Linked DNA regions of Callithrix jacchus. The protein of the gene in region 1 interacts with the protein of each later gene in a biochemical or structural test. Links are inferred from orthologs where the notes say so. Each region holds a gene or a part of one and is shown on either strand. Other genes may lie near its edges. The genes, in order: FLT1 and PGF.

Region 1 (4,569 bases):
TATAGTAGGCAAAGATCATGGCTTTCCACCAGTGTTTTCAGCCCTAACCCAATGCCTGGCCCCTGTTGAATGCTGCAGAACAATGCTGACAGTTTCTCCTTGAAAGAGGGTGTAGGAGTGACAAGCAGCTCTCAGGTGAGACCAACAGACACTGTGGCTCTGCACGTATGTGCCAGGTTGTGTCCTGGGTTGGGAGACTGGTAGGGAGAATGATCAGCCGTCAGCTTCCAGCTGTTCTGCAGAATGATCCTGTGGGTTTTAGAGGACCCAGGTGTGCCAGAGGCAGAGAAAGGCGCCAAGGAGAGCGGTGCGGAGCACTGGAAAAATAGAGCTGGTGAAACCAGCAAGCAAGCAATGACTCCGGCAGTCTTCCTTGCCTCTGAACCAGAAGGGATCCAGGGACAGTTAGTGGCTCAGGTCCTGCGGCTCCAGGTGCCCAGACGTGCATTTCCTGTGTGGAGTGGCCGGGGCCTCTCCTTGGTGTGCAGCCCAGAAATGTGGCAACTTCGGGTTGCCCAACCTCCCCAGGCGGGGAGGTAGTCCAGTCCTTCAGGAAGAGTCGCCGGCTCTGTTCAGGAGCCATCACAGTCCCTGGTATTATGTCCCTCTGACGGGTTCTAATAGGACTATTTTTCAAGCCTGCGGTATTTACAGAGACAAGACTGGGCTGCTCCATGCAGCCCACGATTTCAGCCTTTGAGGTAATGGAAACATAATGGAGGAACAACGTGGAATTAATGTCATAGCAAATATCTAGTGCTTCAAGTTAATTTCAGCCGGTTGTGGTCAAAGAGTCACTCGTCTTGAGTAGCAAGCTGCCACCAGAAAGATTTCTTTTTCGAGCATTTAGGAAATAAAGTTCAAGTGCTCTGCCCTTCCAAGTTGCAGGAGCAGTTTCACGCCTCAGCTTTTTAAGGTATCATGATGTTATTCCTTGTTTTGCTTCTAGGAAGCAGAGGATTGAGGAAATGACTTGGGCGGATGCATCAATGCGGCCGAAAAAGACACGGACACGCTCCCCTGGGACCTGAACCAGTTCGCAGTCTTCCCAGAGGTGCCAGGCAAGCGTCAGGTCCCCTCAGGTGTTCCAGGTCCAGCGCCTTGCGCCGAGGGTCTCTGGCACCTTTCTAGACTTCTCGGGACAGTCTGATGGGGTCAGGGGCGGCAGGACAACGCGGGAAGAGCAGGCAAAGGGAGACAGCCGGACTGCGCCTCAGTCCTCGGTGCCAAGAACACCGTCGCGGAGGCGCGGCCAGCTTCCCTTGGATCGGACTTTCCTCCCCGAGGTCCGGGCGGCGGAGCTTCAGCCGTGTCCCTTCCCCAGTTTCTGGCGGCCCCCAGAGCTGAGTAAGCCGGGTGGAGGGAGTCTGCAAGGATTTCCTGAGCGCGATGGGCAGGAGGAGGGGCGAGGGGAAGAGGGCGCGGAGCAAGGACCCTGAACCTGCCGGGGCCGCGCTCCCGGGCCGGCGTCGCCAGCACCTCCCCACGCGCGCTCGGCCCCGGGCCACCCGCCCTCGTCGGCCCCCGCCCCTCTCCGTAGCCGCAGGCAAGAGAGCCTGGGAGAAAGAAGAGGGTAGGTGGGGAGGCGGATGAGGGGTGGGGGACCCCTTGACGTCACCAGAAGGAGGTGCCGGGGTAGGAAGTGGGCTGGGGAAATATAAATCGCCCCCGCCCTCCGCTACTCTTCATCGAGGTCCGCGGGAGGCTCGGAGCGCGCCAGGCGGACACTCCTCTCGGCTCCTCCCCGGCAGCGGCGGCGGCTAGAAGCGGGCTCCGGGGCTCGGGCACAGCAGCCAACGGGCGCCTGGCGGCGAGGATTACCCGGGGAAGTGGTTGTCTCCTGGCTGGAGCCGCGAGAGCGCGAGAAGACCGACTCGAGCGGCCGGGTAGTTGGCCGCGGGGAGCGCGGGCACCGGGCGAGCAGGCCGCGTCGCGCTCACCATGGTCAGCTGCTGGGACACCGGGGTCCTGCTGTGCGCGCTGCTCGGCTGTCTGCTTCTCACAGGTGAGGCGCGGCCGGGGACCGGGGCCGGAAGCGGGCTGCGATGGGGCGGCCAGAGGGCAGAGCCTCCGAGGCCGGGGCGGGGTGCACGCGGGGAGACCAGGCTGCAGCCCGAGAAGCCGACTACGGCAAGAACCTGGGACTCTAGTTGCAGCGGGCACGCCTGGGGCCTCTGCGCCGTTTCTCCGAGGGAGCGCCTCGGGGAGTGGCTGACCTGGACCCGCGAGCATCAGCGCTCAGACCGGGTCCTCGTGGGGCTGCCCGTTTGCGACAGAGTCGCTGATCCCTTATCTGGCTCTCGGGTGGGATCTCACTGCCGAGGGTCCGGGCAGTGGGAGCAGCACGCACCCGGACCTGCCTGGCACCCAGAGCCTGCTTCCAGGCGGCCTGGCGTGGATCCGCGGGGTCCCCCGGAGCCGGGAGCAGAGGCTCCTGAACGCCTGCCAGGCTGCCCGGGGCTGAGCTGAGGCCGGGGCGTTGGTGATACTGTGCACTGGCCGCGACCTCGCGCCACGAAAGGGAAGGAGGAGAGCTGATTTGAAGGGGACCGCCTGCCTGCGGGGAGCAGGAGGATCTCAGGAGAGGGCCAGCGCTGGCATCCCAGGACCCACTTGGGCCCCCGAGCCTGACTGTCCCGGGGAACGCTCGGCTAGCGCCGCTTCTCCCCGCCGCGCGCGGACCGCGGGGCCACACTGCGCTGTGCGCAGCCACCCGGGTGGGGCCTCTGCCTGGAGCAGCGGGGTGCACCGTCCAGCCTGGGTCGCCGACGTCAGTGACCCTGACGGACGAGGAGAGTCAAGGGTCCAAATACCGTTAAGTTACTGACTTGTAAGCCTAGCCTTTAAAATCCGAGCTAAGAGAGGGCGGGCGATTTGGACCAAACGACGCGGTTTGAGCAAATCGGTGGGGTCTGCCCGCCACCTAAGTCAGCCTTTGCCGGTTGTTTGGGAGATGGGCGGTGGAACCGTCAGGGGCCGGGGTTTTACCAGCAGTTAGACCGCCGCCATCGATGGGTCAAAGCCCCAAGGAATCTGAGGGTTCGGACTCGCAGTCTCTGCTCACTGGAGCTGAGTGGCAGAGCCTTGTGCCCCGTTCCCCTATGCGCAGAGACTCAGATTTCGGAATGCCTTTCTTTTAAGCACAGTGGAGAAAAGGTAAAATATGAAATAAAATACAGTCGTATAAAATAAATCATTACAATTATTCCCGGGGAAAAAAGTAAGATGAGCATACTAAAACAAAACAAAACAAAAAGCTTGTCAAACCCCAAAAGCAGCAATAATTAAATTCCTTCTCAGTGGGAAGACTAACTAGACCATCAGTTTCCAAGTAGCAAGTAATAATTCCAGTTAGATTGGTGAAACTACTAAACCCGGAGGCCGGGCAAAGTAGTGACTTCTGAGAACTAACTGTAGGTTGAGAAATTTGCTAACATAACTATCCTAAATAAAATGTATTTTCTATTTCACAAATACATTTTTTTGTTTTGAAAAGTAACTTGTATTAAAACATAATTGCTTGGAGAATGTAAATACTTCGCTCGACTATTATGTAAAGATAATTCTAGGTAAGTTACATGAATCCAAAAATATGGAGGGAAAAGTACATGGTTTATTAGATTTTCTGTTTCACACAGACATATCTTTATTTCATAAACGTGCTGACTTTAGTGAAACATTTTGTTTGTAATTGGGAGAATCTTAGATCGGTGGAAACTTGACAGAAACGTGAGTGAAATTCTCTTTTGATTTTTCTTAGCTTGTAATCTACTTAACGGGGGCAGCAGTTTTGGAATTGTGAATTTTTTTTTTTTTTAATTTGCACCTTTTTTGGGGAAGAAAGGACTAACATTGGCAAGGTGAGAACCTCTTTATCTGAAAGTTAACAGAGTGCTCTGTTAGCTCATGTTAGCTCAGTCTGCAGCATGGGTGCTTGTGAAAACCCATAGGTTTCTCTGTCTGGTTAACAAGCATCTCACAGTAAAACAATCAGCTACCACCTACTTTACAAATCCCATCAGGTCTTTCGTGCTGAAATGAGGGGCTGCGTCTCTGCCAAGCAATGTCTAGTAAGGAGCCACATTTCTGCGCTGCAGAGTTCTCTTGCATCATTATGAACTGGGGTCTGCTCTCCTTCAAGTGCTATGTAATCTTTGAATACTTATCAGCTATTAATATTGTGTGTGTGCATGCTCGGGGTGCACATGCATTGAGATGTAAAATAACCAGAGGCGCAGTAATACGAAAAGAGAGTGCTTTTCCCCTCTAAAGAGTTTATTTACCTCTTCCAGACCTTCCGGGAAATAAAAAGATAACAATAATTCAGATACTTTTAAGTCCTCTCTATTGCTCTTTTTCTATAAAGGATACCAGTCTTCTTTCTCCAGCTCTGAGTCTCATTTCTTACTTTTAAGGTATCATAAACTGGATGAAAGCTACAGACTTTTTTCTTTACCCTCATTTTTCTTTTGTTCTGGAACAGCTAGCATTTACCATTTACTATAACTAAGTGGAAATATTGAAATTGTGAATTTGTGAAGGAAGCCCACATTAATATGAAATCAAAGT
Region 2 (3,800 bases), on another chromosome or scaffold:
GAAATGGAGCTATAGGACACTTTCTGCCTCAGCTGCTGGCTGGTAATGCGGCCCTGAATGGACTTCACTGCCAGCTCCTGCCCCAAATTGCTACATGGGCATAAACCCTAGGGGGCCACATTCCGCAGGATTCTCCATGGAGTGGGGCTCATGGGGTCAGGACTTGCGTCATCTCCCCTCCACGGCACAAAATGACTTCCTGGAGTCGTGTGCGAGGAGGAGACGCAGCCCCTGAAGGAGGGCACTGTGTGACTGCTTTACTGTGCATGTGAAATACTTTCTTTTTTCTATTTACACTCACAGATTTGGGTTTTCCCTCCTCTAATCCTTCTCTCCCAGCCACACTCAGGCCTGGGGCTCTAGTCTGCTGCCCATCAGGTACCAAGGAGGTTAGAAGAAGCAGGAGGACCCGAAGGCAAAAATATTGGCCTGGGAGCCAGTGGCGAGGGGCACATGTTCCCCAGGGCTGCTAGGAAGTGACCCCAGATAACAGCGCAGCTGATGACAGACTTTTCATCACTAGAAGGTAAACACTAAAGTGCAGGAACTCTGTTTGCTCACAGAGGTACTTGGCGCACAGTAAGTGCTCGGTAAATGTTTGTAGAGTGACTGAATGTTTGCTAGACCTCCTGCCCTTCATCTGACACAGAGAAAAGCTAGGCTGAGAAAGGTGAAGTGGTTCATTCAAGGTCAATGGAAACCTAGGGCTAAGCCGGGACAAAAACCAAGGTCCTGATGCTTCCGGGGCCCTAGAGTCTTGAGAAGGCGTGGCTCCTGTTCTGCTCCCAAGACTGGCCTCAGTCCTGCCTCTCCCCCTCCCTGACCTAACCCTGGCAGCAGGGCGGGGCTCCCCTTGGGCCCAGCCTCCTTGCCATCCCTGGGACCCCGCGCACTCACAGGTGGCAGTCTTTGGGTCTCTGCTTCTCTCTCCTCCTCTTCCCCCTGCCCTTGGGTCTCCTCCTGCAATAAGCCAAAAGCGTCAGGACAAGGTGGCTGGGGGCCCCCATGCTAGGACGGAGGCTGGCAGGCCCGAGAGAGCCCCGAGCCCCAGCTAAGCCACTTACCTTTCTGGCTTCATCTTCTCCCGCAGAGGCCTAGGGAAACAGACAGACAGAGGGGCAGAGGATCGTTAGGAAAGCAGTAAGTGGGGCTCCCTGCCTCCCAGACCTGTCCCCTCCAACATCCTGAGTCCTGGTCCTGCAGCTGACACTGACACCACTAGGGGGTAGCATGGAGCTGGCAAGGGAGAGGTGGCGAGAGCCTCCGGGCTTGGCTCCCACTCCAGTCATGAGAGGGACAAATCAACCTCCTGGGGACCCCTGCCACTCGCTTCTGCACTCCTCAGCCTTTTGACATCAAATCTGGGGTCGTTTCTATCTGTTCTCTGCTGCTTTTCCTTTCTCACTTTTTCCGCTTTTCCCCCTTTCTTCCAGGGTGCATTCTGGGAATTTCCTCAAGGATTAGAGATGATGGCAAGGCAATGGACTGGCTGCCTGTCGGGGCACAGCGCCGTCCCCCCCACACCCACCCCAGCCCAGAACAACACGGGGAGTGAGCCACAGGGTCGGAGGTGGGGAGGGAGCATCAGCCCTGAAGTCACCAGGCATGTCCGGTCTCTGCCTCCCAGGGCTGTGGCTGTTGCCTGGCCACAATCTCCCCCTGGGGAACAGAGGGTGGAGGCACGAGGCAGCTTGGTACCAGTCAGCTTTGGGACCAGGGCATGCTGCCCTCGGCTGCTTCCTCCCTTGGGAGCCAGGGCAAGGTACCAGGGCCTCTGGGGACTGTGTGGTTATACCTCTCCATATTGGGCAAGTAAGGTTCCACACTCTTGGAACCTCAGTCTCTTCATCTGCCTGTCCCCAGAGAGTGGCTGTCAGAGCAAAGGGGATGTAGAAGGTAGCTTTGGGTCACTACCCAGCATTGTGCCCAAGAGGGTTCATTACCAAGCTACTGTTATATGGCTAAGCTCTGGCTTGGAAGGAGGGGGAGGAAACAGGCTGAGGCAGGGCCCCCAACACTGTCATGGTGAAGAAAGGCTAGACCCTGGGCTCAGCCCTGCCCAGGAGCCAAGCCAAGCCTGGGGGCTATTAGAGAGCGTGGTCTCGGCCATGAGAGGTAACCTGAAAAACGAAGGCTTAGGAGCTAGGTCAGGGCTCAGAATCCCTCCTCCCACACTCACTAGCTGTGGTCAGTCATGAAACTATTGAGCCTTGATTTTCTCATCTATAAAATGGGTAGATGACAATAGCATCTACCTCCTAGGGTTGTTAGGAGAGCAGGGACCTTGCTCACCCCTGCATCCCAAGCATCTAAGACAGTGCCTGGCATGCACTAGGTACTCAATAAAAGTATGTGACTAAATGAGAAACATTCAAGTGGCTCCTGTGGGCCTAGGCACAGAACAGTACGTGGTGGTCTTCCCTCCTCCCGCCCTGGCTAGGGTTCTGGACTTCTAGTCTGGTGCCTTCATCCATGGCCCAGTGGTGCCAGGAGCAGTGGCTCAGCCCATTCCTCTCTTCCCTGAACCTGGTTGGCAGTGCCAGGCCTGTTGTTCCTGCTAACCAATGTTCCAAGTGCCCTGGGCATAAGGCAGCAAAACTGGTGCTAGTCAGAAGCTCTGTGGACTGGGAGGGGGTGTAGTGGGAATGCTGCGACATCAAGGAAATCGCAGCCACCCTTCATCCGCCCATTTTCTACCCGAGCTTGTCCTTCTTGCTGCTTCTCAGCCCAGTTTGCCCCCTCCTGTGCGAGCACAGCTTAGCCCAGAACTAAGTCCAGACTTGCAATGTCTCTGCCTCCAGGCACTTCTTCCAGAGGCCCGTGGCAGCTGCCTGTCATCCCCAGGGAAGGGGAATGACATGCACTGAACCCCTGTGAGTCTGGGAGGGATCCACACTCTCTCTTCCCTTGCCGTATCTCAGCAGCTGTACCCCAGCTGCTGGGACCACCTCCCTTGGCAAAATTGGCTGGTGGGGGTGCAAAATGACTGGCAGCCACCTCTGGTCCTGCTCTCTTGGTCTCCCTCAGCCTGGAAAAAAGTGCAGCCTGCAGTAGGGATAGGCGGCCTTTGCCTCTGCCCTGGGACCCATCTTTGCTGAGGCTGCCAAGGGCATGGGAGCCTTTCCCTGCTACCCGCCCCAACCCCGAGACCTACCGGCACTCGCAGCCCACGTGCTGAGAGAACGCCAGCTCCACGTAAGACGGCCGGTCCCCAGAGCTGATCTTTAGGAGCTGAAGGAAGAAAGAGTTGACGCCTGGACTGGGGAGTTTCCGGCACTCTTCTCTCTCTCTTTATAAGGAGAACCTGACTGTTTCCTGCTAACCTGTGGACTACGGCCCTCACTCCACTCTGAGCATGGGGCAAACAGCTCTCCCACCTGCATGGGGATCTGAGGGAGGCCCCTCCCTATGCAGGAGAAACTAGCACAGCGATAGCACAGGAAGGGGGCCTGTGTTCTGGAGTCAGAGAGACCCATGTTTAGATCTTGACTCCTTTGCCCGCTGAACAAGTGAAATAACATCTCTGAACCTTGAGTTCCGCATCTGTGAAATGGGAATGATGCCCGCCTTGAAGGACTGAATGACATACCACTTGTGGTATGCCTAGGACAGTGCTTGGCATTACCCAGTAAGTGCTCAATAAAACCACTGTGTGTGTGACATGTTAATTGCGCTTGCTTGGAAAGGCACCAAACGCTCCTGGTGTAAACGGGAACTTTAATCTAGGCAGATTTGTTTCCAGCTTTAACTAGACACCCCAAGTCTTGGGATAGGGCTCAGCGTGAGGCTGAGAAAGCTGG

The links.
Region 2: the proteins of FLT1 (region 1) and PGF are reported together in a solved structure, tested with the Homo sapiens proteins (2 studies listed by BioGRID and IntAct, with this or other methods). The link is inferred for Callithrix jacchus from reciprocal best matches to the Homo sapiens genes FLT1 and PGF.

What each region holds. Positions count from the first base shown.
Region 1 is NC_133506.1:147,658,691-147,663,259, reverse strand, and holds the start of FLT1 (vascular endothelial growth factor receptor 1), read left to right. Parts: upstream 1-1,687; 5' UTR 1,688-1,941; coding exon 1,942-2,005; intron 2,006-4,569. UniProt on the Homo sapiens protein: Tyrosine-protein kinase that acts as a cell-surface receptor for VEGFA, VEGFB and PGF, and plays an essential role in the development of embryonic vasculature, the regulation of angiogenesis, cell survival, cell migration, macrophage function, chemotaxis, and cancer cell invasion.
Region 2 is NC_133509.1:109,861,752-109,865,551, forward strand, and holds part of PGF (placenta growth factor), read right to left. Parts: intron 3,232-3,800; coding exon 3,155-3,231; intron 1,095-3,154; coding exon 1,065-1,094; intron 961-1,064; coding exon 898-960; intron 1-897. UniProt on the Homo sapiens protein: Growth factor active in angiogenesis and endothelial cell growth, stimulating their proliferation and migration. It binds to the receptor FLT1/VEGFR-1. Isoform PlGF-2 binds NRP1/neuropilin-1 and NRP2/neuropilin-2 in a heparin-dependent manner.